Linked DNA regions of Macaca mulatta. The protein of the gene in region 1 interacts with the protein of each later gene in a biochemical or structural test. Links are inferred from orthologs where the notes say so. Each region holds a gene or a part of one and is shown in the gene's direction. Other genes may lie near its edges.

What was found.
Region 2: the proteins of ATF4 (region 1) and CREBZF form a complex in vitro, tested with the Homo sapiens proteins (2 studies listed by IntAct, with this or other methods). The link is inferred for Macaca mulatta from reciprocal best matches to the Homo sapiens genes ATF4 and CREBZF.

Annotation. Positions count from the first base shown.
Region 1 is NC_133415.1:12,017,291-12,032,807, reverse strand, and holds ATF4 (cyclic AMP-dependent transcription factor ATF-4), read left to right. Parts: upstream 1-9,037; 5' UTR 9,038-9,711; coding exon 9,712-9,937; intron 9,938-10,038; coding exon 10,039-10,868; 3' UTR 10,869-10,951; downstream 10,952-15,517. Other genes in the region: mitochondrial dynamics protein MIEF1, read left to right, coding at 84-261, 467-729, 1,789-2,595. UniProt on the Homo sapiens protein: Transcription factor that binds the cAMP response element (CRE) (consensus: 5'-GTGACGT[AC][AG]-3') and displays two biological functions, as regulator of metabolic and redox processes under normal cellular conditions, and as master transcription factor during integrated stress response (ISR).
Region 2 is NC_133419.1:86,249,875-86,265,758, reverse strand, and holds CREBZF (CREB/ATF bZIP transcription factor), read left to right. Parts: upstream 1-6,844; 5' UTR 6,845-7,070; coding exon 7,071-8,129; 3' UTR 8,130-9,933; downstream 9,934-15,884. Other genes in the region: TMEM126A (transmembrane protein 126A), read right to left, coding at 15,452-15,644.

The DNA of each region.
Region 1 (15,517 bases):
CAGAGCTTCTGGAGAGGAAGTAAATTGGAAGGAAATAGGGAAAGAGGGCAGGTTTATGTCCTGTGTCCTCTCTGCTATTTCAGATGTACGATCGGGCGATCAGTGCCCCTACCAGCCCCACCCGCCTGAGCCATTCAGGGAAAAGGAGCTGGGAAGAACCAAACTGGATGGGCTCCCCCCGACTGCTGAACAGGGACATGAAGACGGGCCTGAGCCGGTCCCTGCAGACCCTTCCCACAGACTCCTCTGCCTTTGACACAGGTGAGAAGGGCTGCTGCCCCTCCTGGGACCTCTCTGGACTTTCAGTACCACTCCTGCACTCAACAGATGTTTCTTGAGCATATCTGTGCCAGGCACTGTGCCAGCACTTGCCCTCCATGCCAGGCCCTTCTTTCTGGGGCTGAGGCAGCTGTGGACTGAGCAGGCATGGGCAGAGCTCACGTGCCTCTCTCTCTTGCCTTGGCAGATACATTCTGCCCGCCCCGGCCCAAGCCAATGGCCAGGAAGGGCCAGGTAGACTTGAAGAAGTCACGACTCCGCATGTCCCTGCAGGAGAAACTTCTTACTTACTACCGGAACCGGGCAGCCATCCCTGCTGGAGAGCAGGCTCGGGCCAAGCAAGCTGCTGTGGACATATGTGCCGAGCTCCGGAGCTTCCTGCGGGCCAAGTTGCCTGACATGCCGCTTCGGGACATGTACTTGAGTGGCAGCCTCTATGATGACCTGCAGGTAACACGGTGGTTCTCATGGTGGGTGGGGTTTGGGTGCTAAGCACAGTAGTGTTGTTGGCACAGATCAGTGTCCAGGCTTGCTAGAAAGACTGAGGTCTTACAGCTTCCGAATCCTGTGTACTGCAGCAGCATTTGGAGAGCCATACTTGTTATTCTTTTTTTGTTTTGTTTTGTTTTGTTTTTGAGACGGAGTCTCGCTCTGTCGCCCAGGCTGGAGTGGTGCAGTGGCGTGATCGCGACTCACTGCAAGCTCCACCTCCCGAGTTCAAGCGATTCTCCTGCCTCAGCCTTCTGAGTAACTGGGATTACAGGTGTGTGCCATCACTCCCGGCTAATTTTTTTTGTATTTTTAGTAGAGACAGGGTTTTGCCATGTTGGCCAGGCTGGTCTCGAACTCCTGACCTCAGGTGATCCACCCACTTTGGTTTCCCAAATTACTGGGATTACAGGTGTGAGCCACCACGCCTGGCATGTTATTCTTTCGAAATTCTTGTGTCTTTAATCCTTTCTCATGTTTTAGTCCTACTTACAACTTTTAAGAAGCTATAAGAGGCTTCCTCCTTCCTATGTTCTTGTATCCATCTCTCCTTTCTAGTTTTCTCAGTCTGTGTAGATTGATATGGTGACATGAAAGAATTCTTTTTTTTTTTTTTTTTTTTTTTGAGATGGAGTCTTGTTCTGTTGCCCAGGCTGGAGTATAGTGGCACAATCTTGGCTCACTGCAACCTCTGCCTCCTGCGTTCAAGCAATTCTCCTGCCTCAGCCTCCCGAGTAGCTGGGACGACAGGCACCCGCCACCATGCCTGGCTAATTTTTTTGTATTTTTAGTAGAAACGGGGTTTCACCATGTTGGCTAGGCTGGTCTTAAACTCCTGACCTCAAGTGAGCTGGCCGCCTCGGCCTCCCACAGTGCCGGGATTACAGGCGTGAGCCACCGCGTCTGGCCTAGAGTTCCCATTCTTGCTGGGGGAATGTAAGATGGTGGGAACTGTGTTGGAGGAAGCGTGTCTTTTGAACAGAGTAAACCCTCCAAACGTTTTAAATTCTGCTCTGACAGGTGGTGGCAGCTGACCACATCCAGCTGATTGTGCCCCTTGTGCTGGAGCAGAACCTGTGGTCGTGTATTCCTGGTGAAGACACCATCATGAATGTTCCTGGCTTCTTCCTGGTTCGTCGTGAGAATCCAGAGTACTTTCCTCGTGGGAGCAGTTACTGGGACCGCTGTGTAGTAGGGGGCTACCTCTCCCCAAAGACAGTCGCAGATACATTTGAGAAGGTGGTGGCTGGCTCCATCAATTGGCCAGCCATAGGGTCCCTCTTGGACTATGTGATCCGCCCGGCGCCACCCCCGGAGGCCCTCACACTGGAGGTACAGTACGAGCGTGACAAACATCTCTTCATTGACTTCCTGCCATCAGTGACCCTCGGTGACACAGTCTTGGTGGCCAAACCACACCGGCTAGCCCAGTATGACAACCTGTGGCGGCTGAGCCTGCGTCCCGCAGAGACGGCACGCCTGCGGGCTCTGGACCAGGCTGACTCGGGCTGCCGATCTCTGTGCCTCAAGATCCTCAAGGCCATATGCAAGTCCACCCCGTCTCTGGGCCACCTCACTGCCAGCCAGCTAACCAATGTCATCCTCCTCTTGGCCCAGGAGGAGGCTGACTGGTCTCCAGATATGCTGGCCGACCGTTTCCTGCAGGCCCTGAGGGGACTTATCAGCTACTTAGAGGCTGGAATCCTGCCCAGTGCTCTAAACCCCAAGGTGAACTTATTTGCAGAGCTCACCCCTGAAGAAATAGACGAATTAGGATACACTCTGTATTGCTCATTGTCCGAGCCAGAGGTGCTGCTGCAGACGTAGGGCAGGTGAAGGCCAAAGCGGGTGTTGGTGGTCAGGCCCTGGATTCTCCGTTAGATACACTTGGCTACGTAGTTGGTGCCTCACAGGGTTCCTGGTGCCTGCTGTCTTGCTGATCATCAACCTGGTCACTTCATGCTGATTAGAATGACATCTCTTCCGTCTCCTATTTTCCTACCCAACTCTTCCTATTTTTGTTACCAATCACTGTGCTCCCTGCTCCCCCTGGCTCCAGGCTAATTTTTCTGGAATGAATTGAGAAGGTGGTGTGCTGGCCTGAGCTGATGGACCACTTGTTTTGCATTTCAGCCCATGTTTGCTGCCTCTGTCTGGTCTGCCTTGCCTGTTTGCCTGTTCCTATTCAGTGTCTTTTCTATTTTTTCCCCTCTTGTTCATGCCTTCTGTTTTGCTCTTGTCCCTGGAGCATATCTGCCTAATTAAGATGTTGCCTTTTAGTTGAATGCCACTGAAGAGCTGTGATAGCATGTTTCAAAGCTGAACTCTACAGAGTGAGTGCTGGGACAGTATTTAGGGTTTCTGGGAGTGAGGCTGGTAGAAGAGCTGGCCTTGACCCCGGTTCCTGGAGTAGAGTCTGCCCTCCCCGCCATCTCCTGACCCATTCCTAAATGCTGAGAACGTCTCTCACGGAAACACTGTTAGTGATCCCCACAGGACAAGCTGGATTCTAAGTTATTTGCAGATTGAATTTCTGGGTGGCTATCAGCAGAAGTGCAGAGTAGGGAACCAGAGCTGGTTAAGGGCCTAGTGGAGGGTTTGTGTGCCCAGTGTCTGTTCCTCATCTGTGGCTGCAGGGGTCAGACAGACAAGGATGGGGGCTGCCAGGACACCACCTCCTCATGAATGCTGGTTTTTACCCCTTTTCCTTATTTTATTGCCAATCAGGACAAGGCCTTGAAGGAATGCAGCCTTAGCCATCAGTTGAGGGTGAGGGAGGTAGACAGGCGACTGAATGTCAGTTGGAAAATCTGGTCACTAGTTGGGGTTTGGTGGCCATGTTTTCTCCCCAGGCAGGCCCTGCTTTTCTAGGATGTGGCCTTAGGCAAGAACAGACCCAACAGCCAGCCCTTCATCCTCCAGTGTCTGCCATAGGAACGTGAGAGGGCTGTTTGCTGAGCGCTCGGGGTACGGCCAGAGGGCAAGTGAGCATGCACAGACCTCTTTCCCCTGTCCTGTTTCTCACCCAGCACCTGGGGAGATTGGTGCTACCAAGGAAGAGCGCACACAGATAAGGCAGAGGGGAGGAGATGGGCATTTCTTACGTTCCTCATTGTTTCCTGCTGCTGAGATTGCAGTATTTATTGCAATGTAAATGTATCCTGAAGGTGGGGAGGAATGTTTAATCCACCATGTCCATGTGTCGTCTTGGTTTGTGTTTTTCCCTGTTTGTGGCAAGACTCTGATGATAATTCTGTTTCTCATCTGCCTATTCAGTATTTTGTTTTCCTCCCGTCAAGTTGTCTTATTTTTTCGATGACTACCTCTCCATCAGTGAGGTTCTGGTGAAGCTCTCTGCAGCTGTCTCATTCCTTTCCAATGATAGTAACAGGAAATAACTCTTTAGCATTGATACCTCAGCAGCAATTTAGGGTAGAGATTCCTGCCCCTGTTTTGTCACAGATTAGGAAGTTGACAACTAGGCTTAACCTTGACTATATTTAGAGGTCTTTTTGGCTCTTTTCCCCTTAACAAGGATTTCTTATGGTGGTTTCAATTTCATTTGCATAAAAGTATTAAGAGGGAACAAAAAACGATAAAGCTGAGAATCGTGAGAGAGCTTATCTGTCTGTTGGTAAGACTCAAATGAGAGTTTAAAAAAAAAAAAAAATCTGTACGCCTGAGTACCATCCTGGATGAATCTAGAAGGTATGGGGTAGAGCCTAACAGTGAGGGTTCCAGTGTACCCATTGGGTTTCCATTACAGGGAAGGGAGAGGAGAGGATTGATAGAGTGTTGCAAAAGTGTAGATTATTCTTCATTGAGATAAAGGATTTGGTTTCCCTGCCATGAGTATTAAAAAATTCTAAGTTTTCCCAACCTCGCATCTCTGACCAAATTTCACATAAACCATTGGAAGGATGCTGGGCATAGTGACTCACGCTTGTAATCCCAGCACTGGGAGGCTAAGGCGGGTGGATCGCTTGAGGTCAGGAGTTTGAGACCAGCCTGGCCGACATGGTGAAACCCCATCTCTACCAAAAAGATAAAAATAAGCTGGGCGTGGTAGCAGGTGCCTGTAATCCCAGGTACTCGGGAGGCTGAGGCAGGAGAATCACTTAAACCTGGAGAGTGGAGGTTGCAGTGAGCTGAGATCACACCACTGCACTCCAGCCTGGGTGACAGAGTGAGACCCTGTTTCAAAAAATTTTAAAAAATAAAAATTGGAAGGAGAGCTTAAAAAAGATAAGATTTTAAGAGTTCCAAGTTATTTTAGTGTAATTGTCACTTGAGAAAGGCAAATGAGTTTATCATTCTTCTTAAAGAGCATCTCTTTTAACTGTTTGACAAAACCATAACTTTGTCATTTTACAAGCAAGAACCTCTTAAGAAGTCCTCAGAACTAGAAGCAGTGTGAACTCTCAGCCTTGGTCCTGGTGGGTTTGCTGACCATGACTGGGCAAGCCATTCTTTTTGCTGCCATCTTCCTCTTCATAAAATGTGGAACATAGGCACTCGCTTTGAGATTTTTAGATAGAAGAAGACATTCTGCACCTGCCCCCTTTTTTAAATCTTTGAGAAAAGATGAGTAATTTTCCCCGCTACTCTGCCTTCCTGTTCAGTAACTCTTACTTTTGCCTGAAGTAATAGCATCTTCTACTTCTCCATCTAGAGATTTTTGTGTGTGTGCCATCAAGGTTAGCAAACCTTATACTTCGCCTAACACTTAAAAAATGCACTCATTATCTTAAACCTAATAAATTCCAGAGTTTATTTTGGTTCTCTTCTGTTGCCCTTCCTAAAAAATGAGTTCAAGATGACAGTATTTTTCTTTACATGCTTGGTTGTGAGTTTTAAAGTTTTATTTAAATATATGTTGAAGCTCCAGTTTAAAGAAAGCATTGCAGAGGCCCACGGTCTCCTGGGTCCCGGCCGGTGGAGGCGCACCTGTCCATATTCCACATTCGCTGACAGTGCTCCCTGCACTCCACTCAAGGTGAGAGTGCAGATAGTCTTCAAGGGGAATCAGCTTCAGGATGGAAGGACCCAGGAGAGGCCCCGAGGGGGGATTCTGTAAATACAGACTACTGCGAGTGTGCAGAGCTCTGTGCCATGGTACTTCCTTGGGACTCTGACTTGGCTGACAACTTGTGCTGTCAGAGGATTTGTTAGAACTCTGCCCTTTTGTCTGAAGCTCAAGGCCAAGGAGACTTAGCATAGAGCTGACCCCTGCACCAGGCTGGGAGGCTCCAGCCCTTGTAGATGCCACTTACTATAAGTGGCCAGAATACCAGAGATGTGGGTTCCATGGTCAGCTGCACACTAAGTGTTTACCTTTACATTTGGATCACCTTGTAGTCTTTAATTATTGGTCCCTGAGGCCAAGTCCACAGCTTGCCTTCTAGTCACTTGCCTGCCCATCAGTGGTGGTGGGTGTGTTAGCTGGTAGATTTGGAATCAGTCACCACTCTTTCTGTACTGTCTTGGTTAGGTCTGTATAAGTAGAGGCAGCTTAGCCCTGAGACCCAGAGAGCTGCTATCCTTTTTCTCCTTGCGGGAGGAAATAAAACTGGGGAACACAATGTCCTTCCATAGCATAGGAAGAAGCAAATAAAAGTCTCCTTTCCACCAGTGTTGACTTGTGTGTGTTGCATGAAACATCTTCCTGTGGGAGTGGTACTGGGTCTCCATTTTCAGCTAGAGTAACCTTTGAAGTGTTTGAGCTAGGTCTCTATAAAAGAATGGATGGGACAGGCTGCCATGAGAGTCATTCTTTCATGACCTTTTCAGTGTCAAAACTGGGGCAGTGTTACTTTAATACTCAACCATTTGCACCATCATCTGTCAGGAGGTACTGTCTATAGCAAAAGGAGAACATGTCCTGTGGGTCCCTAGTTCGGCCTTTGGAAGACATGGCTAATGGCTCAGGGATTCTTACTGCCTCTGCATGGAAAGGCTAGACAACTCCTGTATTTATTATTATTAAGACAGGGTCTTGCCCTGTTGCCCAGGCTGAGTTGCAGTGTTGTGATTACAGCTCACTGCAGCTTGGAATTCCTGGGCTCAAGCAATCCTCCCACCTCTGCCTGAGTAGGTGGGACTACAGGCTGGAGCCACTGCTCCTGGCACCAATTCTGTATATCTCAACTCTCATGATTCCCCAAAGAGAAAGAAAAACCATACTTTTATTCCAGCATCCGGTATGCCTTGTGTATACCTGTATACAAGTTTTAAAGTTGTTGGTTTCATCTCATTAAATAATAGTTAAGAGTCCTCTGAGGCAGCAGGAGGATGTGGAGAGTAGCACAGGTCAGGGTCAGGTGACCTGAGTTCTATGAAGGGTAGCAGCAATAGCAACTATTATTGGGTGCTTACATGTACCAGGCGCTATGCTAAGTGCTTTACATGTATGACTTCACTTCATGGGGCAAGGATACTCATCAGTAGTCTCATTTTACAAATGAGGAAACCGAGGCTCAAAGAGGATAAGTCACTTAGCCAAAATGTCCCAGCCAGGATTCTTTTGGGTGAGCTCCCCAAAATTTGTCTTCTAACTCCTACCCTATACTCCCTCCACTGGGAGCTGTGCGACTTTGAGCAAGAAGCTTCATCCCATTGGGCCTCGGTTTACCATTGGAAAGGACTTGTGAGCGAGGTTGAATGAGCGCAGCAGATGGCCTGTGGTTATTTAGAGCAGTGCTTCCCTGGTTGTTTGGTATCACAGCGATCATAGAAATACTTGTGTGGCCCGGTGAAATGGAGGCGGAAACTCAGTTTCTACCTTCACAGGGCCTGACTGGAGGGGGCTGAGGACGATGCGGAGGTTTCCTGTATTAAAACAGACTACCCCCCCTTCCCAACGCACAACCCCGAGCACGTGGCCGTGGGTTCCCAAGCGCCTCTCCTCCCAGGGCCATGGGCATGACCACCGAAAAGCGGGTTAGGCCGGGGAGTTCAGAACCCGGAGTGAATCGAAACTACCCCAGGTAGATGGCAGCGAAGAAAATTCTGTTCTTAGGGGAACGCAATCTTCGGACACCAGAAGTTCCCCTATGATGCTATTCTGTGGCAGCCTCGCACTTGAGCCGGATGAGAATTGTAAAAACCCAGGTTGGGAGACAGGACGGCGCGTCTTCCCGGCTCCTTTCCAGAGTTTAGACGGAGCCATGCAGACTCAGCTGGCCTTTGGGTGTAGGTGGGCAGGCCCGAGGCGCCCTCTCGAGACCCCTTCAACCTCCCGGGGGCAGCAACACCGTATCGGCTATGAATGGCGTCTCTGGAAAACTCAGGCTTGGAACAGGTAACCCCCCGGTTTCCGCAGGCCAGAAATCAGCCCCCGCAACCGAAGGACGCGCAGGCTGGGAGTGGCGGCGGGGCCGCCAGTGGCGGACCTCCACTGAGGGCGGCGGGACCCGACCGCAGGGGCTGGGCCCTGAGGCCACTATGGGGTGCGCTAGGCTAAGGTCTCCTGGGGGCAGGAGCCAGTGCGATTGTAGCTGGCCAGCAGGCTGGCCGGCCTGAGGCCTGGCAGAGACCCGAGACCCCGACCCTTACCACGCGGACTCCGTGATCCCTCTCCCAGCAGCCGCCCACCTGGGGCCCTGAGCCAATAAGAGCTCGAGGTATATATGACTCACCGTGCCTGGGCCAATCAACTTGACGCGCGCTCTTCGCCAGCACCTCGCGCGATAACCTGGCTTCCTCGGCCTTCACAATAAAAACTCTCCGCCGGAAAACGACCTCTCCCCGCCCACCGCGCCGACACCGGAAGCGAGGCGTGTCTGCGAGATCACTCCGCGCTCCGGCGGCGAAGGAAAGAACGGACTCTGATCATAGAAGTCTAGTAAAGTAGTGCACCTCTCTCGTTTCGTGAGGTCATAAGAACAAACACCTTTTCTCGTCACAGCTACGCGCTGGGCATAAACGGTTGGGGCGTCAAAGGGAGGGAAACGAGCGGGCGGGAGGAGATGGTCACGTGGCCGTGGCGGAAGGATGCGTCGGTGCTGCGTCCCCTTAGAGACGAAGTCTATAAAGGGCCGGCGGGCGGCTGCTGCGGCCATTTCTACTTCGTCCGCCCACAAATGTAGTTTGGTTTGCACGTGTGCGCCTTCCCTCCTCCCCGCCCGCAGGGTCCACGGCCACCATGGCGTATTAGGGGCAGCAGTGCCTGCGGCAGCATTGGCCTTTGCAGCGGCGGCAGCAGCACCAGGCTCTGCAGCGGCACCCCCCCCAGCGGCTTAAGCCATGGCGTGAGTACCAGGGCGGGTCGTCCAGCTGTGCTCCCTGGGCCGGCGCAGGATTTGGGTTGGTGGGGTGCGGCCTGGGGCCGGGGCGGTGCCGCCAAGGAGGAAGCGATTTTACGAGCGCCCGGGACGCGTGGTCTTTGCTTGGGTGTCCCCGAGACGCTCGCGTGCCCGGGATCGGGAAGGCGCATTCTGGTGCCAGGACTGCTTCCACAGGGGCCCTGCCGCCCTCGGACCCCGAGTCCCCCAAGGGTCCCAGGGGTCTCGGCTTTCCCCCCCGCGAAACGTGGCAAGAACCAAGATGGCGGCGGCAGGGCGGCGCCGCGGGCGTGAGTCAAGGGCGGGCGGTGGGCGGGGCGCGGCCGCCCTGGCCTTATTTGGACGCGGGGACGGAGCGCCTTCCTCTTGGTGGCCGGTGGAAGAATCGCCTGGTCTCCGTGAGCGTCCATTTTGTGGAACCTGAGCCGCAGCAGGGAGGGGCGGATGCAACTGCCCCGTTGCCGACTCTATAGATGGCTGGACTAGAGAAGTCCCGCCTCGTAAGTGGAAAGATGAAATTCTCAGACCAGCTAACCTCTAATGGGAGTTGGCTTCTGATTCCCATTCAGGCTTCTCACGGCATTCAGCAGCAGCGTTGCTGTAACCGACAAAGACATCTTCGAATTAAGCACATTCCTCGATTCCAGCAAAGCACCGCAACATGACCGAAATGAGCTTCCTGAGCAGCGAGGTGTTGGTGGGGGACTTGATGTCCCCCTTCGACCAGTCGGGTTTGGGGGCTGAAGAAAGCCTAGGTCTCTTAGATGACTACCTGGAGGTGGCCAAGCACTTCAAACCTCATGGGTTCTCCAGCGACAAGGCTAAGGCGGGCTCCTCCGAATGGCTGGCTGTGGATGGGTTGGTCAGTCCCTCCAACAACGGCAAGGGTGAGTGGGCCACCACCACATCGTCTGGGTGGGATCTAGGGTTAGGGGCCTGTTATCTTTGTATCTGACTCACTTGGCCCTGTCATTCAAATCTTTTGCAGAGGATGCCTTCTCCGGGACAGATTGGATGTTGGAGAAAATGGATTTGAAGGAGTTCGACTTTGATGCCCTGTTGGGTATAGATGACCTGGAAACCATGCCAGATGACCTTTTGACCACGTTGGATGACACGTGTGATCTCTTTGCCCCCCTAGTCCAGGAGACTAACAAGGAGCCCCCACAGACGGTGAACCCAATTGGCCATCTCCCAGAAAGTTTAACAAAACCCGACCAGGTTGCCCCCTTCACCTTCTTGCAACCTCTTCCCCTTTCCCCAGGGGTCCTGTCCTCCACTCCAGATCATTCCTTTAGTTTAGAGCTGGGCAGTGAAGTGGATATCACTGAAGGAGATAGGAAGCCAGATGCCACTGCTTATGTTGCCATGATCCCTCCGTGCATAAAGGAGGAAGACACCCCCTCAGATAATGATAGTGGCATCTGTATGAGCCCGGAGTCCTATCTGGGCTCTCCTCAGCATAGCCCGTCTACCAGGGGCTCTCCAAATAGGAGCCTCCCATCTCCAGGTGTTCTCTGTGGCTCTGCCCGCCCCAAACCTTACGACCCTCCTGGAGAGAAGATGGTAGAAGCAAAAGTAAAGGGTGAGAAACTGGATAAGAAGCTGAAAAAAATGGAGCAAAACAAGACAGCAGCCACTAGGTACCGCCAGAAGAAGAGGGCGGAGCAGGAGGCCCTCACTGGCGAGTGCAAAGAGCTGGAAAAGAAGAATGAGGCTTTAAAAGAGAGGGCGGATTCCCTGGCCAAGGAGATCCAGTACCTGAAAGATTTGATAGAAGAGGTCCGCAAGGCAAGGGGGAAGAAAAGGGTCCCCTAGTTGAGGGTAGTCAGGAGCGTCAGTGTGCTTGTACATAGAGTCTCTGCTGTTGCTGTGTGTTGGAATAAATTATTTTGTAGGGAAAGTACTTGTGTGAATTCCTTTTCTGGCAAATTAGCCGAGTGAGGCGCCAACCACGCATCCCAAACTGGTTATAACATTCCTTGTGAGATCTGGGGAGGAGGGCAGTCCAGGACTGAAGATGGGTACCCAGAGTGGGAACTGCTCGCCCTGCTAGGTGTAAGCCACGATGTCTGATGACTCATGGGGCCATACAGCCGGATAGTTGGCCAACTGTAGCAAGTTGGGTCCTTTACCCAGAGGTGAGTTCGCTGGTTGTGTAGGGAGGAGGCTGGAGCTCTCTGAGAGGTTGGGAGGGAGGGACAGCCTGGGCCTCTTACCTATTTATTCAAGAGGGCTTCATGCCAACAGCTGTCGCCTGAAACCCTGGATAAGCTTGCACAGTCCTTGAGATAAGCACACAAGATTAGTTTTCACTTGTTACCCTGAGTTCTGTAGAAACGTGTTCCTGAAGAAAGAAATGGCTCCTTTTCGGAATTGATGCTGAAGCAGGACAGGAGCTGAGGGTTGGCCTCCGTTTCTCCTTATGGGGTGGAAGGATGACATCCTGCACAGGTTCTGGCTAGAGCTGGGCACAAAGGCTACAGTTCCTGTGAAGGCTGTTGTGCCTGTTGCTACCTAAATAGAAGGCCTGGCATCATGCTAGGATGGATCAGCGCCTAGAAACCACGCCTCCTCACCGCAGCTTCTTCCTGGCAAGCTGGCGGGGAGACCTCGCCTTTCCAGGCAGGCGATGTCTTTTGTGTTGCGGATGAGTGCTTGATTTTGTGTTGCGGATGAGTGCTTGAATGCAAGGATCAGCGTATCCTGGGTAGGTCTGTCTTTCCTCTTGTGTCCTTCAGGATCACAGTTTTCCTTCTGTGGAAGGTGGTGTAGACTGGGTGTGCCCGGGGAATGGCTGGGAGGACAGTGAGGGTGAGTGCGCCCAGGCACTGCTGTAACTGAGCACAGTACGTGTGTTCACCCCGTCCCCGAAGCACACCCAGGAGGCAGACGCCACACTCAGGAGGATTTTTTTTTTTTTTTTTTTTTTTTTTTTTTTTGAGACAGGGTCTCTCCCTGTTGACCAGGCTGGAATGCAATGGTGCAATCTCGGCTCACCACAACCTCCACCTCCTGGATTCAAACGATTCTCATGCCTCAGCCTCCCGAGTAGCTGGGATTACAGGTGCTCGCCACCATGCCCAGCTAATTTTTGTATTTTTAGTAGAGACGGGGTTTCACCATGTTGGCCAGGCTAGTCTCGAACTCCTGACTTCCTGATCCACCCACCTTGGCCTCCCCAAAGTGCTAGGATTACAAGCATGAGCCACCGCGCCTGGCCTTTTTTTTTTTTTTTTTTTTTTTTTTCTTTTTAGAGATTGAGCCTATTCCCCAGGCTGGAGTGCAGTGGTGCAATCTTGGCTCACTGCAACCCCTGCCTCCCAGTTTCAAGCGATTCTCCTGCCTCAGCCTCCCGAGTAGCTGGCATTACAGACGACTGCCACCATGCCCAGCTAATTTTTGTATTTTTAGTGGGGATGGGGTTTGTCATGTTGGCCAGGCTGGTCTCGAACTCCTGACCTCAGGTGATCCGCCCGTCTCGGCCTCTTAAAGTGCTGGGATTACAGGTGTGAGCCACCACGCCCAGCTCACCCAGGAGGATTTTGAGCAAAGAGGTAGAGCTGGAATTTGAAGCCAGGACTCGGGCTCCAGTCTGGGCTCTTCATTTTGCCTCTTGAGCTGGAAACAAATGGCCCGTCATGACCTTTCCGGTGCCCAGTATAGACGGTCACCTGAGAGCCAACTGTTGACGGAATGTATGCAACTGCTTGTGGAGAAGTTGCCCGAGGCACCGCTGGAAGTGGGCATCACACATGGGTCTTGGACCTGGTGCTCTTCGAGGTCTTTCCTGCTGAGATTCTAGAATTCTCCAAAGGCCATGGGCCTCCATCCACATCCAGGTACTAAATAGGCGTTAGGGTGCGGCCAACAGCATCAGAGTCATCTAGTGCCAGTGGGGGTCGGCCCTCATTTGGCAGATGAGAAACTGAGGCACCAAGAAGGGCAGTGCAGGCTGGTGGTGTGGACCCAGGATGCTGGGGCTGTGCCCTCTCCAGGCCCTTGCAGCTAAGGCCTCCCACACCCAGAAGGCACCAGCTCAGGTCACAGTGGCTTTGCCCTTCTCCTTGACCTCACCTCCTCCCCTCACTGTGCTCTTGGCCTTTCTCCATCTGTCTGCCAAGCTTGGTCCTGCCTCAGAGCCTCACACTTGCTGTTTTTTTGGTAACTTTTTTCTCCATTGAGTTTATCTGTATACAGATTCACTTTCTGTTCTCCATTCCCTAACTATAAGGTCACTCTGTGGCAGCAGGTGTTTTGCTATCTTATTCATTCCGGTACTTCCAGGACTAGAGCAGTGCCTGGGAAATAGCAAAAATGACTGCGGCGAAAACGTTCAAAGAGCTCTGATGCTCTAGGCGCCTTCCAGTGATGAGCTCAGAGTCCTCCTGAGGCTGTGAGGAGGGTCTTATGACTGCACCCTTCTTACTGATGCAGCTGAGACCCAGACTTAGGCACCTCCTTGGGAAGTCTGGCCTGGGGGTGGACACTGGCCCACGGGCAGTTGGTATAGGCAGTGATAATGGCCTGGACAAACCAGCTGGATTTGGCTAGGCAGATGTCTGTTCCGGAGAGCCCAGCGCAATAAGGGGTATGGGAGGAAGGGGCGGAGATGAGGCTGATGTCCAGCCACCACCCTGCATGTGGCAACTTATGGCCCCTGCCAGGCCTTGGCCAGCCCAGCCTAGGTGACCAGGTCAGAGGTGGAGCTGGGCTTTACCCAGTGACCAGGGGCTGGGGGCTGGGGGATAGGAAGGGACCTCACAGGCGAGAGCGGACAACTCTCAGCATTTTCTCCTGCTTTGTGTCTAGGACAAGGCTGTAGGTTGTGGAGAGCAGAGAACGACCTTCTTCTTTTATACAACTAGTCCTGAGTGGGTGCCCGCTCTGCACTACACTGGGTGCTGGCTTCAGCAGTGAGCCAAGTAAACATCCCTGCCCTCATGGAAGTTTGCTTCTGGTAAAGGAGACAGATGGACCCTAAAAAGAAAAAGATGTGACATGTGTCACATTCAGATGTAACACAGCAGCTGGGTCAGGCATGGACATGCTGGGCATGCTCCTTAAGATGGGTGCTCAGGGAGTCACAGGGCTCAGCCCGGCAGGGGACTGGGCTGGGATCAGCAAGGAGAGGCAGCCAAGATGTGGGTGTGAAGAGAGGGGATCCCCCCAAGCAAGAGAAAGGATGGAGGGCCCGTTTCCTGAGATCGGGAAAACCAGGGGAAGAGTATGATTTTATTTCAAAGAGGCCAGGTAGAAATAAAAAGTTCCTGGCTTTGGGAGGCCGAGGCGGGTGGATCACGAGGTCAGGAGTTCAAGACCAGCCTGGCCAATATGGTGAAACCCCATCTCTACTAAAAAATTAGCAGGGTGAGGCTGGGCGTGGGGGCTCATGCCTGTAATCCCAGCACTTTGAGAGGCTGAAGCGGGCGGATCAGGAGGTCAGGAGATCGAGACCATCCTGGCTAACACGGTGAAACCCCATCTCTACTAAAAATACCAAAAGTTAGCCGGGCACCTGTAGTCCTAGCTACTTGGGAGGCTGAGGCAGAAGAATGGCATGAACCCGGGAGGCGGAGGATGCAGTGAGCCGAGATCGCGCCACTGCACTCCAGCCTGGGTGGCAGAGCAAGACTCCGTCTCAAAAAAATATAAAATAAAAAATAAAAATTAGCTGGGCGTGGCGGCACATGCCTATAATCCCAGCTACTTGGGAAGCTGAGGCAGGAGAATGGCTTGAACCGGGGAGGCGGAGGTTGCAGTGAGCAGTGCCAGTGCACGCCAGCGTGGGTGACAAAGTGAGGCTCCATCTCAAAAAAAAAAAAGTCCCCTCAGTGACACCCAAGTGCCAACCACCCTTGCCTAGGTGGCCCATGGGGTGGGGTGGGGGCTCTCAGCCTAGTTGGGGGACTGAAGGTGGACACTTAGACCAAGTAGAAAGTGGCAGCTTCAGGAGACAGAGCAGGGCCTCCCAGCTGGGCTTTGAAGGGTGGGGAGAGTTGTGGACAGAGAATGGGAACAACACCCCGTGAAAGTCAGCCAGGCAGGAAAGAACGGGGCACACACCAAGTGCCACAGTCCCACTGCCTGTGGCAGAGGCCTTTGCCCAGGCTAAACTCTGAGCCTGCAGCTGGGCCCCAGCAGAGTCCCATGTTGCAGTCCTGGCCCACTCCTGCCTGGCCCCCTTGGCCAACTCCTCTAGTAGCAAAGAGGGTCAGAGTGTGGGGGCTTCAGCAGCCCATCCCACTGTGGAAGACACAGGAAGCCATGGCTGGGGCCCTTCTGTGGGGCATGGGGTAGGTTCCTCAAACTCTGCTTCCCCAAACCACCTGTGACGCAAATGCTTCCGGTGCTTTCACACCCATCCATGCTGTCTAGACTGGGGAAGGCCTCCTGCTTTGTCCTGTCAGCCCTAGGTTGAAGTGACAACTCAGTTTCCTCTTTTTTTGAGACAGGGTCTTGCTCTG
Region 2 (15,884 bases), on another chromosome or scaffold:
ATATGCTGGGCCTAGGGCCCCATGCTGTGTGCAGCCTAGGTTCTTGGTGCCCTGCATCCCAGCTGCTCCAGCTGTGGCTAAAAGAGGCCAAGGTACAGGCTCAGGCTATGGCTTCAGAGGGTGCAAGCCCTAAGCCTTGGCGGCTTCCATGTGATATTGAGCCTCTGGGTGCATAGAAGTCAAGAATTGAGGTCTGGCAACCTCCCCCTAGATTTTAGAGGATGTATGGAAACACTTGGCTGTCCAGGCATAAGTTTGCTGCAGGAGCAGGGCTTCCATGGAGAACCTCTGCTAGGGCAGTGCGGAAGGGAAGTGTGGGGTCAGAGTTCCCACACAGAGTCTACACTGGGGCACTGCCTAGTGGAGCTGTGAGAAGAGGGCCACGGTCCTCCAGACCCCAGAACGGTAGCTCTATCAACAGCTTGCACTGTGCACTGGAAAAGCTGCAGTCAGTGCCGATGCATGAAAGCTGCCAGGAGAGGGCCTGGACCCTGCAAAGCCACAGGGATGAAGCTGCTCAAGGCCATGGTAACACACCTCTTCCATCAGTGTGACCTGGGTGTGAGACATGGAGTCAAAGGAGATCATTATGGAGATTTAAGATTTGACTGCCCTGCTGGATTATGGACTTGCATGGGGCCTGTAGCCCCTTTGTTTTGGCCAAGTTCTGTCATTTGGAATGGGTGTATTTACCCAATGCCTGTACCTGCATTGTATCTAGGAAGTAACTAACTTGCTTTTGATTTTTCAGGCTTGTAGGCAGAAAGGACTTGCCTTGCCTCGCCTCCGATGAGACTTTGGATTGTGGACTTTTGAGTTAATGCTGAATGGGGGATTGTTGGGATGGCATGATTGGTTTTGAAATGTGAGGACATGAGATTTGGGAGGGGCCAGGAGCAGAATTATGTTGTTTGGCTGAGTTCCCACCCAAATGTCATCTTGAAATGTAGCTCCCATAACCCCCACATGTTGTGGAAGGGACCCAGTGGGAAGTAATTGAATCATGGGGGCAGGTTTTTTCTATGCTGTTCTCACTGTAGTGAATAAGTCTCACAAGATCTGATGGTTTTGTAAAGGGCAGTTCCCCTACATATGCTCTCTTGCCTACCACCATGTAACACATGTCTTTACTTCTCCTTTGCCTTCCACCGTGATTGTGAGGCCTCCTTAGCCATGTGGAACTGTGAGTCCATTAAACCTCTTTTTCTTTATAAATTACCCAGTTTTGGGCAGTTCTTTGCAGCAGTGTGAGAATGGATTAATACACATGCTTATCCTCTACCTATGTGTCTTTCCATTGTCTTCCCTTTGTGTTTGTCTCTATGTACAAATGTTTTCTTTTTATAAGGGCAAAAATCATGCTGAATTAGAACCCACCCTAATAAGCTAATTTTAGCTTTATTATCTCTGTAAAAATCCTATTGCCAAATAAGGTCACGTTCTAAGGTACTAGGGATTAGGACTTCGACATGTCATTTTTGAGGGACACAATCTAATCTATATCAACTCCTATCCTCCTCTTCACTCTTAGCTGACAACCTCTTCTTCTAATCTATCTAGATATTGATGCTACATTGTATTCTGGTGCTCCAGCTGAAAAATTTATGTATGCATGTCTCAGGGGATGAGTTGACATTCTTTTCCTATGTTTGGAAAATCTATGGTTAAAGAACTTGAGAGGCCTGGTGCAGTGGCTCACGCCTGTAATCCAGCACTTTGGGAGGCTGAGGCAGGTGGATCACGAGGTCAGGAGGTCAAGACCATCCTGGCTAACACAGGGAAACCCCGTCTCTACTAAATATACAAAAAATTAGCTGGGTGTGGTGGCGGGTACCTGTAGTCCCAGCCACTCAGTAGGCAGAGGCAGGAGAATGGCGTGAACCCGGGAGGCAGAGTTTGCAGTTAGCAGAGATCGCGCCACTGTACTCTAGCCTGGGTGATAGAGCGAGACTCCGTCTCAAAAAACAAACAAACAAACAAACAAAAAACCTTGGGATCTTATTGCGGGGGGATTAAAATGTTAAGAGGAAATAAAGAATGTGAAACAAAGTATCAGTGGCCCTACATGTCTTAAATTAATTTTCATTTTGTATTACATGCTTGCTAGAAACTTTCAGGATTTTTCTTCTTTCAAATTCCAATGAAATGCTTGTGTATTTACAAACATGTAATTAGGCCGGGCATGGTGGCTCACACCTGTAATCCCAGCACTTTGGGAGGCTGAGATGGGCAGATCATGAGGTCAGGAGTTCAAGACCAGCCTGGCCAACATGGTGAAACCTTGTCTCTACTAAAAAATACAAAAATTAGCCAGGCATGGTGGCAAGCACCTGTAATCCCAGCCACTTGGAAGGCTGAGGCAGGAGAATCGCTTGAACCCAGGAGGCAGAGGTTGCAGTGAGCTGAGATCATGCCACTGTACTCTAGCCTGGGCAACAGAGTGAGACTCTGTCTCAAAACAAACAAACAAAAAACGTTTAATTAATTCAGTTGTAAATAGTGTGTATACAAACACATGTCCTATGATGTCTCTTCTTACCCACTCTGCTCCAACCTTTTTGTCTTTATTTCTTAACACACTACTGAGGTTTCAGCTGAAATTTTATTTCCTCAGAGAATTGTCCATTGGCTATCCAATCTAAAATAATTATAGATTTATTTTCAATTGGGTGACCCTTTAAAAAAATCTCTGTATAGCATTTTTATAAAACTTTCCTATTTATTTTCTGTCTTCTCTCATTACAAAGTCGGCTCCATGAGAACTTTATCGACCTTGCCCATCATTATACCCACAATGCTTATAACAGGATCTAGCTCAAAGTAGACCGTGTGTGTGTGTGTGTGTGTGTAGAATGACTGAATAAATTATTTTCTTGCTTTGATCTTGCAATTCTAGACAGATGCAGAATAATGTAGGTACGTGAGATGGGTCAAGTTTTGCAAAACCTTTATTTAGCTACGAGAAGCTGAACAGATGTTTTTCAAACTGCCTCCCCAATATACAAAACCCAATACACAGAGTTATAAAGTTTAGGCTTCTCTCACAATTATCTTAAGCTAGTGAACCTTACACAGTTTTTACATGGCTTTATACCTCCTTCCCTCCAAAGATTTGGAGTATAGTTGAATCCTGACACATGCTGCAAGTCATTTAATAAAACAGCCATTCATGTTGTTAAAATTTCCATGTAAAATACAAATAGGAGCATGTTTCTTAATCTAATAAAAATACTAATCTCAAGTCAATAGCTAGATAGTAAAGGCATTTCTGTTAAAGTCAGGAATAAGACAAGGAAGTTTGCTATAAACACTATTATTAGACATGAATCTGAAAGTGCTATTATATTATCAGTCAAGATAATAATAAATATTGCAAGGAAGAAAGCAAAATAGTTATATATAAGGTTATGTAATTATTAAAAATTGATAAGCTGAAAATTAAAACAAGAAAGTTTGGTGCACTAGTGAGTTAAAAATTTAACAAAAAAGATAAATAGCTCTCCTACATAGTAACAATAACCATTTAGAAATAGAACGGAAGAAATAATCTATTTTATGCAAAGTTTGCATAAAAACTAGGTAAAGTTTGCATAAAAACTAGATAAAAGAAATGAATACATTTAATGCAATTTCCATAAAAATTCTAGCTTTTTTGAACTTGGAAAGTCTTCTAAAGTTATGTGGAGAAATAAATACTTAAGTATAGCTAGAAAATTCTGAGAAAATAAAAGTGACAAAGAGGGACTTGCCATATGAGATATGAAAATGTAATATAAACTCCAATAAAAAGTGGAGTGATTTTGCTTCTGGAATTGCAGAACTGATCAATAAAATAGATAAAGACCAGAAATAGATCCAAGTGTATGTAAGAATTTAATATATGGCACACATGTTGGGAAGTCAGTGGGACAAGTATGGATTATTCAATGAATTGATAAGTGGATTTTTTTTTTTTCTTCTAAGACATAGTCTTACTCTGTCGCCCAGGCTGGATGGAGTGCAGTGGCACAATCTTGGCTTACTGCAACCTCCGCCTCCAAGGTTCAAGTGATTCTTGGGCCTCAGCCTCCCAAGTAGCTGGGATTACATGCATGTGCCACCACACCTGGCTAAATTTTTTTCTAATTTTTTGTATTTTTAATAGAGATGAGGTTTCACCATGTTGGCCAGGCTGGTCTCGAACTCCTGGCCTTAAGTGTTCTGCCTGCCTCGGCCTCCCAAAGTGCTGGGATTACAGGTGTGAGCCGCTGAGCCTGGTCTTTGATAAATTGACTATTTAAAAATTACAGCCTAAGAAAGAACTTTACAACTCCACCCCTAGTAAATCGTAAAATTATTTTTTTAAAAAGTTGGAAAATATAAGAGGCAAAGGGATGTTTTCCTTATAATGTAAAGAGTTCACATAAATCAAGAAGAAAAAAGACAAACATCTTCCCTGAAGAACGTTTTCCCCTACTTCAAAGATAAATAAATGGGTTAGGGAAGTGAAAATCCTATTCACGTTAGAAGTCAGTTGGTCATGTGACAAACATTCAACCTTCCAATAATCAAGGAAAAGCAAATTTGGGAGGTTGCGGTGGCTCACGCCCACAATCCCAGCACTTTGGGAGGCGGAGGCAGGTGGATCACCTGAGACGGGCAGATCACCTGAGGCCAGGAGTTCAAGACCAGCCTTGCCAACATGGTGAAACCCCATCTCTACTAAAAGTACAAAAAATTAGCCAGGCAAGGTGGTGGGTGGGGGTTGGTGGTGGGGGGGTTGGTGTCTCTCTATGTTGCCGAGGCTGATCTCAAACTCCTGGGCTCAGGCAATCCTCCTGCCTCGGCCTCCCAAAGTGCTGGGATTACAGGCGTGAGCCACCACACCTGGCCAAATCATGTGTATTTAAAACAGAATTTTGTAGTTTAAAAAATATAATAAATCAATCAATAATATTGAATTTTGCCTAAGGGGAAAATGCAGTTGAATGGGATTACCAGCCATACAAAACACCTGTACTCAAGGGAGGCCAGAGTATACATATATCACCTTGAACTGTGTGCTGTTGTTCTTTAGCAAAATCTTTCCTAATGGAATGTTAAGCAAGACAAGGAGTCCTTTTATTTATTCTTCTAGATACCACAGGTCATACTTTTTTCACACCTTGAAATAATTGTTTTCATTCAGTTGAGCTTTAGTGTTATGCCTTCAGTCAAAACTGTAGACTTTGTTCACTCACTCAATAAATATTTGTTGAAGCCTGTGCAGTGTACCAAGCACGTTTCTCAATATTTAGGACCTGTCAGTGTTCAACTTTCCTGGAACTTGCTTTCTGTCTCTCTTAAGAAATACTGTATAGAAGCAGCTATCCTAGAGGATATCTGCTACATTATTCAGTATCCTATAGAGAAGTTTCTTTAAGATTTAAGAACTAGAAAAGTGGTTAAAGAATTCATATATACTTTACTTATGAACAAAGGAAAATTCATTTCTCTTTTTTTGTTTGGGCTGTCAGGAAACAATTTTAGCCCAACTCAAACAACTGAGTAAGATATTGCATCCATCCAATTCCAATATTAACCGTTTCCCCTTTCAGAACTCCTTCTCTTCCTAGTTCATCTTTTTTTTTGGCCTTGCTTTTTAAAAATTCAAAATGTTTTGTTTTACTATATTCTAATGTACTTGTAAACTGCTTCAAATCTCAGATCTCTTGTGGGATATGAACCTAAATATCTGTATTTGTAAACTGCTTCAAATCTCAAATCCCTTGTGGGATGTGAACCTAAATAACAAACAGAAAAGGTCTCTAAAATAAAAGATGTGCATTGAAAATAGAGCATTTCAATGGGAAAACGCATGCCATAGTAAACTATGTGTGCATGCAGGAAGACGAAGGAAGACAAAGGGTTTTAAAGGAAAAAAAATGAGGATGGTTACACATTGTTTTGAAATAATTATCTTGACTACAAAGGTCAATAACAAGGGTGACGTCAGTTCAAGGTTGGACAGGCAGCTTCTGGGCAGACATCCTTGCAGAGGTTTTGTATAAGGTCATGATGGTTTTTGTGCAACGTTGTGGTTTTGCAGTCTTTGTTTTCAGGCGTACAAGTATGAGTACCCTCTCTTCATAGCCTTTTCTGGCTCTATTTGTCAGAGTTTTTGTTCGTTACCCAAATGCAGTAAGTCAGTACTGACTGGATTTTGGCTCAAGTGAAAATACCTACTTGTAAAAAATGGCATGAACAACCGAAGACAATTTTTGTAAGGAACGTTGTATTCTACATTCCTTTTTTTTTTTTTTTTAATTGACAAATAATAACTGTCACATTCATGGGGTACATAGTGATGTTTCCATACATATGGAATGTAGTGATCAGGTTAGGGTAATTAGCATATCCATTATCCAGCTGAGGACATCTAGTATGGCCCAGGTATTAAATAGTATTAGTAAACGATTGTTAATTTTCTGAAGACTTGGTAATAGTATTATGATTATGAAAAAAAGTCCTTAGTTTTAGAGATGCACACTGAAGTACGCAGGGGTGTGGTGTCTTACCTGCAACTTTAGGATGATTCAGCAAAAAAAATTTACAAGCATTTATGTAAAGATAAAGCAAATATGGCAAAACAGTGTGTTGAACTGTTGAGTCTGGGTATTGGGCGGTATTATTGAATTAGGGTGGATAAATCTAGAGTCTGTTGTTATTTTTGCTGCAGTTATTATGACGTCACTAGAAAGCTGGAATTATTCCCACTCCAAAGCACCCTAAAACCTCGCGATATTACGGCCTGGTGGCGCGCGAAACGCGGTGGGCGGGGCTGGGGCGAAAACCACTGACTTCCGGCCAGGCCGTTGTCTGGGTGGTGCGGTCGAGTCATCAGTGGGCCTCACCGCTTCTTTCTCCCGACCCTCCCTGCGCCCTGGCGCGGGGGGTCGACTAGCCAACTGAGGCGGGAGGCTACTCGGACCTTTCCCTGCATTTCGTTTCGGCCAGTGCCGGGGGCTACCCACCCTGGGGCGCGGGATCCTTGGGGCCCGTGAGGCCCACTCTTAGCGGCCAGGGCCTACCGCGGCCCGCCGCCGGCCCTCATGAGGCATAGCCTGACCAAGCTGCTGGCAGCCTCGGGCAGCAACTCCCCAACCCGCAGTGAGAGCCCAGCCCCGGCTGCAACCTGCTCGCTGCCCTCGGACCTCACCCGGGCGGCAGCGGGGGAGGAGACAGCAGCGGCCGGATCTCCCGGCCGCAAGCAGCAGCTTGGCGACGAAGGGGAGTTGGAAGCCGGGAGGGGGAGCCGCGGCAGGGTGGCCGTGCGCGCGCCCTCGCCCGAGGAGATGGAGGAGGAAGCGATCGCCAGCCTCCCCGGAGAAGAAACGGAGGATATGGACTTTCTGTCTGGGCTGGAACTGGCGGATCTCCTGGACCCCCGGCAACCGGACTGGCACCTGGACCCCGGGCTTAGCTCGCCGGGGCCTCTCTCCTCGTCTGGCGGAGGCTCGGATAGCGGCGGCCTGTGGAGAGGGGAGGATGACGATGAGGCCGCGGCTGCTGAAATGCAGCGCTTCTCTGACCTGCTGCAGAGGCTGTTAAACGGTATCGGAGGCTGCAGCAGCAGCAGTGACAGTGGCAGCGCCGAAAAGAGGCGGAAAAAGTCTCCAGGAGGCGGCGGTGGCGGCAGCGGTAACGACAACAACCAGGCGGCGACAAAGAGTCCCCGGAAGGCGGCGGCGGCCGCTGCCCGCCTTAATCGGCTGAAGAAGAAGGAGTACGTGATGGGGCTGGAGAGTCGAGTACGGGGTCTGGCAGCCGAGAACCAGGAACTGCGGGCCGAGAATCGGGAGCTGGGCAAACGCGTACAGGCACTGCAGGAGGAGAGTCGCTACCTACGGGCAGTCTTAGCCAACGAGACTGGACTGGCTCGCTTGCTGAGCCGGCTGAGCGGCGTGGGACTGCGGCTGACCACCTCGCTCTTCAGAGACTCGCCCGCCGGTGACCACGACTACGCTCTGCCGGTGGGAAAGCAGAAGCAGGACCTGCTGGAAGAGGACGACTCGGCGGGAGGAGTCTGTCTCCATGTGGACAAGGATAAGGTGTCGGTGGAGTTCTGCTCGGCGTGCGCCCGGAAGGCGTCGTCTTCTCTTAAAATGTAGGGTCAAGTAATCTGCTCTTTATCCGCGTTTACCCCTTTCAACTCCCTTACACCATGTCAAACTTACCTTAGTGGGACATCTTCACCGGACACATTTCAGAGGAGAGAAAAAAAGTAATATTGAATCTTAAAGTGTTTAGCTAAAAGCATGAATGTGACACAGTAACCAACTCCTAATGATAACATGTGACTATTAAATCTCTCTGACAGTTTCTTTTTTAGGTGATTTCCTTCCTGCCAGGCTCCGTTGTAGGGGTTACAGAACAGTCGTTCCCGCCTCACAACCTGGTAAGGATCCATCTCTTCCCGTAACGCTCATGCTCTGCTGCTTAGTCTACTTTAATGGGCAACATCTCAGTCTGTGTGTGTGTGGTTTTTTTTTTTTCCTGTTTTGGAAGGTGGGAGGGAAATCTAATTTGGGCCCTGTCCACCCTGGAAACAGACTTGTGCTGGTCAAGAATGTATTTAAGATGCCTCTTCTGGTTGAAATAGCTATTAATGTGTCCCCTTATTCAGACTTGCGTGTACCTAGCTCTTCTGTCCCCAGTGTGGACATGGCCTTGGATGACATCGGTTCCAACTGTACACTGAAACCTGCTTATAGAGATACAGTTTGGAGACAGTGAAACAGGTGAAGTTGAATGGAAGTTCCGAGTTGTACAAGGTGCAAATTGGAATTCCGATTTTAGGGCAACTTTTCAGAGGTTGACAATAAGTATTTGGGGCATGCACAAATGTGATAGTTATTTTGCTGGAGGTGACAGGTACCTCTGAAATATCAATGCCTTTTAGTTTTCAGTAGGAGATATAGAAACAGTCTATACGGAGTAACAGATTTTAGTATCTCACCATTAGAGAAGTTGGAAATTAACATGCATATCAGACTTCTGTGTTTTAGTTACTTCGAGAATAAGAATGGTTAATATTTCTTTGAGGACCAGCAGTGATTACCCTATCACTGAGTATGAATAAATTGTTGAACATCGTTATTTTTGTTGTATTAAAATTTTAGGTTAAATTTATATATGTATGATTAGATATTGAAGGTTGTGAAATGTGAATGAAAACGTGTAAAGTGAGGCTTCACAAAGAATCTTATTCTCTGTATTTCAAAAGTATTTGTCTTATTTTAGAATAATTTTTTAAATTGAGTGCTTCTGGCCACTTAAATAACACGATTGGCACTATTTTCCCAAAGGTGGGATTTATTCTTCCCTTGAATCTATTAACCATTTGTATAAATTGAGTTATGGTGTCCTTCAGTGTAAGAGGCATTAAGAAATTCTTTGTGAAACATCACTGCTTGATAAAGTATATACGTATTTAGCATCCTTGTTTTTCTTTGTGCTAAAGTGGATACAGCTGTTGGGGCAGAAGAGACGGGACCAGCTGCTGGCCACATTTCCTGCTTTATTTTAAAAGGTAGTATAAGAAATGAGGAAAAAGAGGTAATATCAGGGCTTCTGCTGTTTTTTATTTTTAAAATGTTCATAATTAAAAAGTATTTTCCAGCAGTCCAAAGATGTAAGTTATCTTACACATGTTTTATTTTGTTGTTATTTGGTTATGAAAATGGAATCCTTGTTCTTGCACAACTGTAAATGTTTTGTTGCTAGATAATACGATTTGAGACCTGAATTGGTCTTTGGTTTCCAGTGCATCACAGCATATTTTGTAAAATCATCTACTACTGCACTTGAGCATGATGGGTAGTAGCCAAACTCACAACTTGGAGTGATGAACCTGCTTATACCTAAGGGCAGGAGCAAGCCCCTCACAATGCAGCTGCATGGGTTTTTAGTGCCTACTGAATTTTATATATATATATATACATATATATAAACCAAAAGTAGTTGGAAAGATTATTTGAAATGACTAATTTGTGCTATCTTTATGAAATATGTTAAATGTAGCTTTTTTGAAACAGAAGCCTTGAATTGAAATTTAACTAATACTTGAACATTTTTGTATATATTTCTTTGTATATAATTTTGTGCAGTACCAATGACAAAAATATGGTGTCATAATAAAACCAGGTTTGTTGATCTTTTAGTTATGGGCTCAAAGAATTTATTCATCTCTAACATGACATTGGAAAATAATGGATGAAAATAGGAAAAATGATTGTTGTTAATGCTGACTGTGGGTCTTAAAAGGTTCTGGAAAGCAGTAAGTTCATTTTTCTAAAAACTATAACATTCTCTTGGAATATTTTCTTCCTTACGTCAATACTTTTCCTGCATTATTTGAAGTTGTGGGCTGGGGAGAAAACAGCAGTCAAAGCTTTCTGAATTGAGATGCTTTGAAATTCCAAGTGTAGATTTTTAGAATGTCATTTTATAAATGGCAGTTTTTGGAATTACTTGATAAAGAACTTTTGAAAATGGAAAGATTAGTATGGCCTATTTTTAAAGCTGCTTTGTTAGGTTCCTTATGTTTTATTAACTGTCTTTCCTCAGTTTCCATTTCATTTTTTTTTCTAGTTTTGGTGACTTAGTGATTTTGTCATTTTTTACATCAACTTCATGGTCTGGTTTTTACATGGTAATTGCATGTATTTAGGATCTATCTAATAGGGGCTTTAAATAAATTTGGTCATATTTATGTGTAAGCACATTTTACTGTAAATGTTTGGGTTTCTGAATTTAAACAGATCTGTTTATTTCAGTATGTAGTAAACAATATCTTAAAGTGTCCGACTCACTACTTGTTAATTAAAAAAGTTATGATTAATGTGAAACTGTTGTCTTACTATTTTTAGAAAATTGTGTTCTGGATGATTAGCACATGGATAAAGGAGATTTATGGCATATAAAATGGATTGTTTTTGAAATTTCTAGGTTTGGCTCTATTTACTATAATGGTTGAAAACAATTTAGTATTTGGGTGACCCTTTTGTTTTTCTTCTAAATGTGCCTCTATGGTAAAATACAGAACTAGACTAAAGACGTAGCTTTTTAATATTTGTCTTCGATGGTGGCAGGAGTTCATACATTAATTGAACTAACACATCATATTTTGACCTATTTCTATCATATTGACTTACTGTTTCTGCACTTCCTTGACCAGACTTATCTTAAAAAGTCCACTTTCGTTAAAATGTAGTCACACCTGATATAATCCAACAAAAAGTGTTCAAAATATTTTAAATATTTGTGCATTTTATAATCACTAAATTAATCTCTTTCTCTTCTCTTTAAACAGCTTAGCAGTGTCTGCAAAAAGGAATCTTTTCCTACAACCTGTTAACTGACTGGACTGATGGTAACAAAGTAATTGTGAGAGCCATGTCGGTCAAAAATTTGGCATCTGCTGAAAAAAATGAATGCCATTTTCAAGTTCCCAAATTACTTCTATACTGATTTCACTTTCCAGAAATGGAGATATGAAAAGATTCTCTGGAATCCTTGAAAGACTTAATAGAGATACATGAGACTAAGTTAATCTTGGAACAAAATTACACTTTTTTTGTCTTTCATGGGAGTGATACTCAGTTATTGCATATCTTTACAAAATTGTAACCGTTGGAGAATTACAGTATTTCATCAAGAAATTAATTAGAGTTTTTAAATAATCAAGAGCATATTCTATGGAATTAACATTTAGTGGACTAGAATTACATAAGCAGGCCATCAGTGATCACAAGGCATATGAGTTTGTATTTATTTCCTGGAACATGAGAGGTAATTTGGAGTACAGACAGACACCCTGCTGAGTAGAATATAAAAGTTAATGTAAAGTTCTTAACGATAAAGAGTAGTCCTTTTAAATAGATGCATTGATTTGTATATCTCTGAAAAAGTTGATTATGATTAAATGTGTGGGTAGTTAATTAAAATTTAGGGTAACAACCAGGATGTATGGATTCTGAGGTTTTGGCTTCTTGAGCTTTCTCTTGAGTACTTGATACTGTCTTTTGAATATTTTGAGGTTTCTAATTAATGGTATGCTAGTTTCTACTGTTTTATATAAAAATTTATCTAGTGTTGTATAAGGGCTTTAGTATTCTGGATGATGGGAGTGGCTTTTTGTGGCATATCGTTGTTTTACTTAATTGAAATATTTTTTCAGTTTATTACAAGTGTGAAAAAAACACTCAAAACTCTGGATTGTTTTATTTCATTTTTGTTGGATTATGTTAATACATTCCTTCACCTGGTTTAGATTGAGTCATTTTATCTTACTCATTTGGGAAATGTGCAGCTGATAGAAGAGGGTTTGGGTAGGAGATTGGCTCTTAACTTCATAATAAATATACAGTTGGTTATTGTATTATTCAGAACTTACTAAATCCAGTCAGTTTCTTATAATTTTAAGTGTATTCAGTGCCTGTGAAGCCAGGCAGCCAAGAGTATTCCCACTGGCATAAAACTTAAGTGCTGATGCTCCTACAGTACAGCTAGTTATAATTCCAGAACCAAAGGCACCAACATGATTTGGTGACCTTAACTACTACTTTGATAGAACAGACTGGGTAATTTACTAATAATGAGTCATTATCTTTTTAATATGTGATTACCTAGTTCAGCATTCTGAATGTGTAGTTTAAGGTCTCTCTGATTTAGTAAAATTTTAAAGCTAAATACTCTGATGACTCTTGAAAGTTTAATTGGTAGTATGACATTTATAAGTGTTTTTTCCCCCAGACTCACAGCCAATACAAAGTTTTGAGACTCTAGTAAATGTTAATATTTTTGCTGCTTTTCTGAGCTGTTTTTTTAATTTACTTACCATCTAATCTAGGGACCAAAACGGGAATTCTTCCCTTAGAAATTTGTAGTGTTATGTTTGGCCAGCACAGTATTTTTCAGATTTGAATTTCAGTACCTTTATGTGTAGCCTCAGTACTCTCAACACCAGTCACTCTTTATTGTCTTAAAATACTCCATACTTTTTGTTGACCCAAAATTGTTGAATATTTTGCTCAGTTTTCACAATGAACTAATTGAAAAGTGTAGTTACTGTGTTGTAAACATTTGTGTAGTTCTGTTAATATACTGATTTGAATTTTATTTATCTCAACTTCCTTTAGCGTCTGCCTCCAGATTTTGTCTTTGCTGTATACCCACTGAGATCAATTTCCTAGACCCCTCTGGCTCTTAGTGTACTATGGTTTGGGCTTTATAAAATATATTAATGTCTTAATTTAAATAGAATGTGAGCCCTCTTTTTTTTCTTTGAAGCCAAATAACTACACACAGTAAATTATAAAATATTTAAATAGTTTGTCTACTGTGTCTAGACTGAAATATTAAAAATTGACTTAGGGTAGTTTACTTCAGGTGTTAGCTACAAATGACTAAATGTCCTTAAATAATAGCTACAAATGACTAAATGTCCTTAAATAATGCAGATATCTGCTCTCTGAACAAAAATTTTCGCAAGGTAAATTTGTAGCAACAGACTTAACATGCTTTATTGTTTATGTTGCCCATTTCTGCTAATGGAAAAGATAATTTAAAAATATGTGGCAGAGGACAGAATAGAAATACTTTTTGGTTACAGAAACCATTGTAAACTCATCCCCATTTATACATGGTATTATGCTAGGGAGTAATTGGACTAGGAATGTTTAAAGATAAGTAAGGAAACAACGTGTGCTCAGTTGTCAAAGAACTTAGTTATATCACTGGACTTTGAACTATCTAAGTTGATTACACAATTCTATATTCTTAAGGAGTCTAACTGGGTACTTGGGTTAACATCAGAAATTACTTTTAATTCATTGTTTTTTCACTGTGATGAGTAGAACTCTGCTTTTAGTAAAAGTGACAGAATGTAGGTAAAATGGATGATTTGGGGTCAGAGCTTTTCATCTTAAAATAAACAGCTGTATTGTTTTGCCCTTTAAACATTATATATTTCTTTTTTTCCCTAGTTGTAAAAGTAAAACATACTATTTATAGAAAACTTGGAATATCCTGAAAGGAATCAAGAAGAAAAGAAAAATCACCCTTATAACTATAAGCCGTAGAATATCCACAGTAAACATTTTGGCATGCTTCCTTCCTTTCAGTCTCTTGTGCATACAGATTCTTTTGCCTCATAACTGGGATCATTTTCTATATAAGTTTGGTAGATAATACATTTTATGTGCCTGATGAAAGAACAAATCATCTTTGGTTTCTGAAAAATTGAGATTGTATTTTGTTAATTTCACATAAGCTTTTCATCTTTGGCAGCACTGCTTATATTTTTCTTTAAACAGACGTTAAAGGCCAGTTTCACTCACAAAGATGCCTTTTCTAAATTATTATATATAATTTTAAGCAGCATAAGATTACTTAACACATATGTCACTATTTGGAAGTAATAGTTAAGAGATTCATGAATAATCTTGGATGCCACTTAAAATTTTGTTTGGTACTTTTCTGTGATGATTGGCTTGCTTCATAAGAAAGTGTTGGTTTAGATCTACGCTGTCCAATACTGTAACCATTAGTCACATGGCTAAACATTTTAAATGCATTAAAATTAAAAATTCAGTTACTCAGTTGCACTAGCCACATTTCAGGTGCCCAGCAGCTACATAGGCTAATGGTTAACATATTGACAGTGCAGATATAAAATATTTCCATCATCACAGAAAGCTCTGTTGGACAATGCTGATTCAGTTGCTGTCACAAAAGAAAATGGTTTAGAGAACTAGGATGAGAAATGTTAGGACAACAGAAGAAAGCACATCAAAAATTTAAATGATCTTAGGAAATCAATCAACTAGGATATTTCACTGAGGGTCAGAGAGATTAGTTGATTTTGTGATTCTAAATATCCTACAATAAATGGAAGCGTGAAAGACTACCTAAACTAAAAATACAGCTTTCCAAATAAGGTGACTCGAAGTAGGTAGATCTATATCATAATAGCTGAAGCTGAGCCTGAATGACTCAAGAAGATGGCTGATTTAAGGAAGGTTGTTAAATCAGTTCTAAGAATCTATGGATTAATAATTTGAATTGAGAAAGTGAATTATAAGTAACATTTGGTATAGTGTATGGATATATATTTTTTCATTTTTTATTCCCGTTTGGCATTATGAAGTCTTCAGTGTAAAATACTATATAGTAACTTTTTCCTCTTGTGTACTACAGACCAAACTCGATACCTAAGGTAAAAGAGTAGAGCAAGCAAGGTAGAAGAGACAATACTGGGCAAACTAGTGAAGTTAAACTTGTTTAACTGGGTAGCTTTTACTTAGATTCAGCCTTTTGTTGTAGGTCCCAGAATTATCCTCATGTGATAAATTACAAGTCTATGTTTATGTATAACATTAGACATAAACTGTTTTTACCATTTTATTTTTGTTTACATATTTGTTTAAAATCAGTGAATTTCTTGGCCAGGTTCAGATAACTGAAGGGCCTTTATAAGTAGTTTATATTGTTTAGACCCAAGGTATGCTGAAAACATTGTCTGGAGCATAATAGGAAATAACATCATTCTAAAGACAGGCTTAGAAGTTCTAATCCAGTAATTTAAGATGTTCCCTTTGTGTGGTAACAGAGCTGATTGATACCTGTAAGAAAACATTGAGATAGTTCAATAGAAAAGATTGTTGTATCAAGTGGCAAACCTATCTATGATATATATTAGTCCTAGAAGTCTTAAGATGAAACTAAAGATTAAGGTAAAGGTCTTCAGTGTCTGTTAATCCTAAAAACTGTTTTATTTTGTTTCTTTATCCAGTTTGCTTCAAGGCTATAGCATAGATTGCTGATCCAAGAGTTCAACAGAGAATAGCCAGAATTATTTTAGA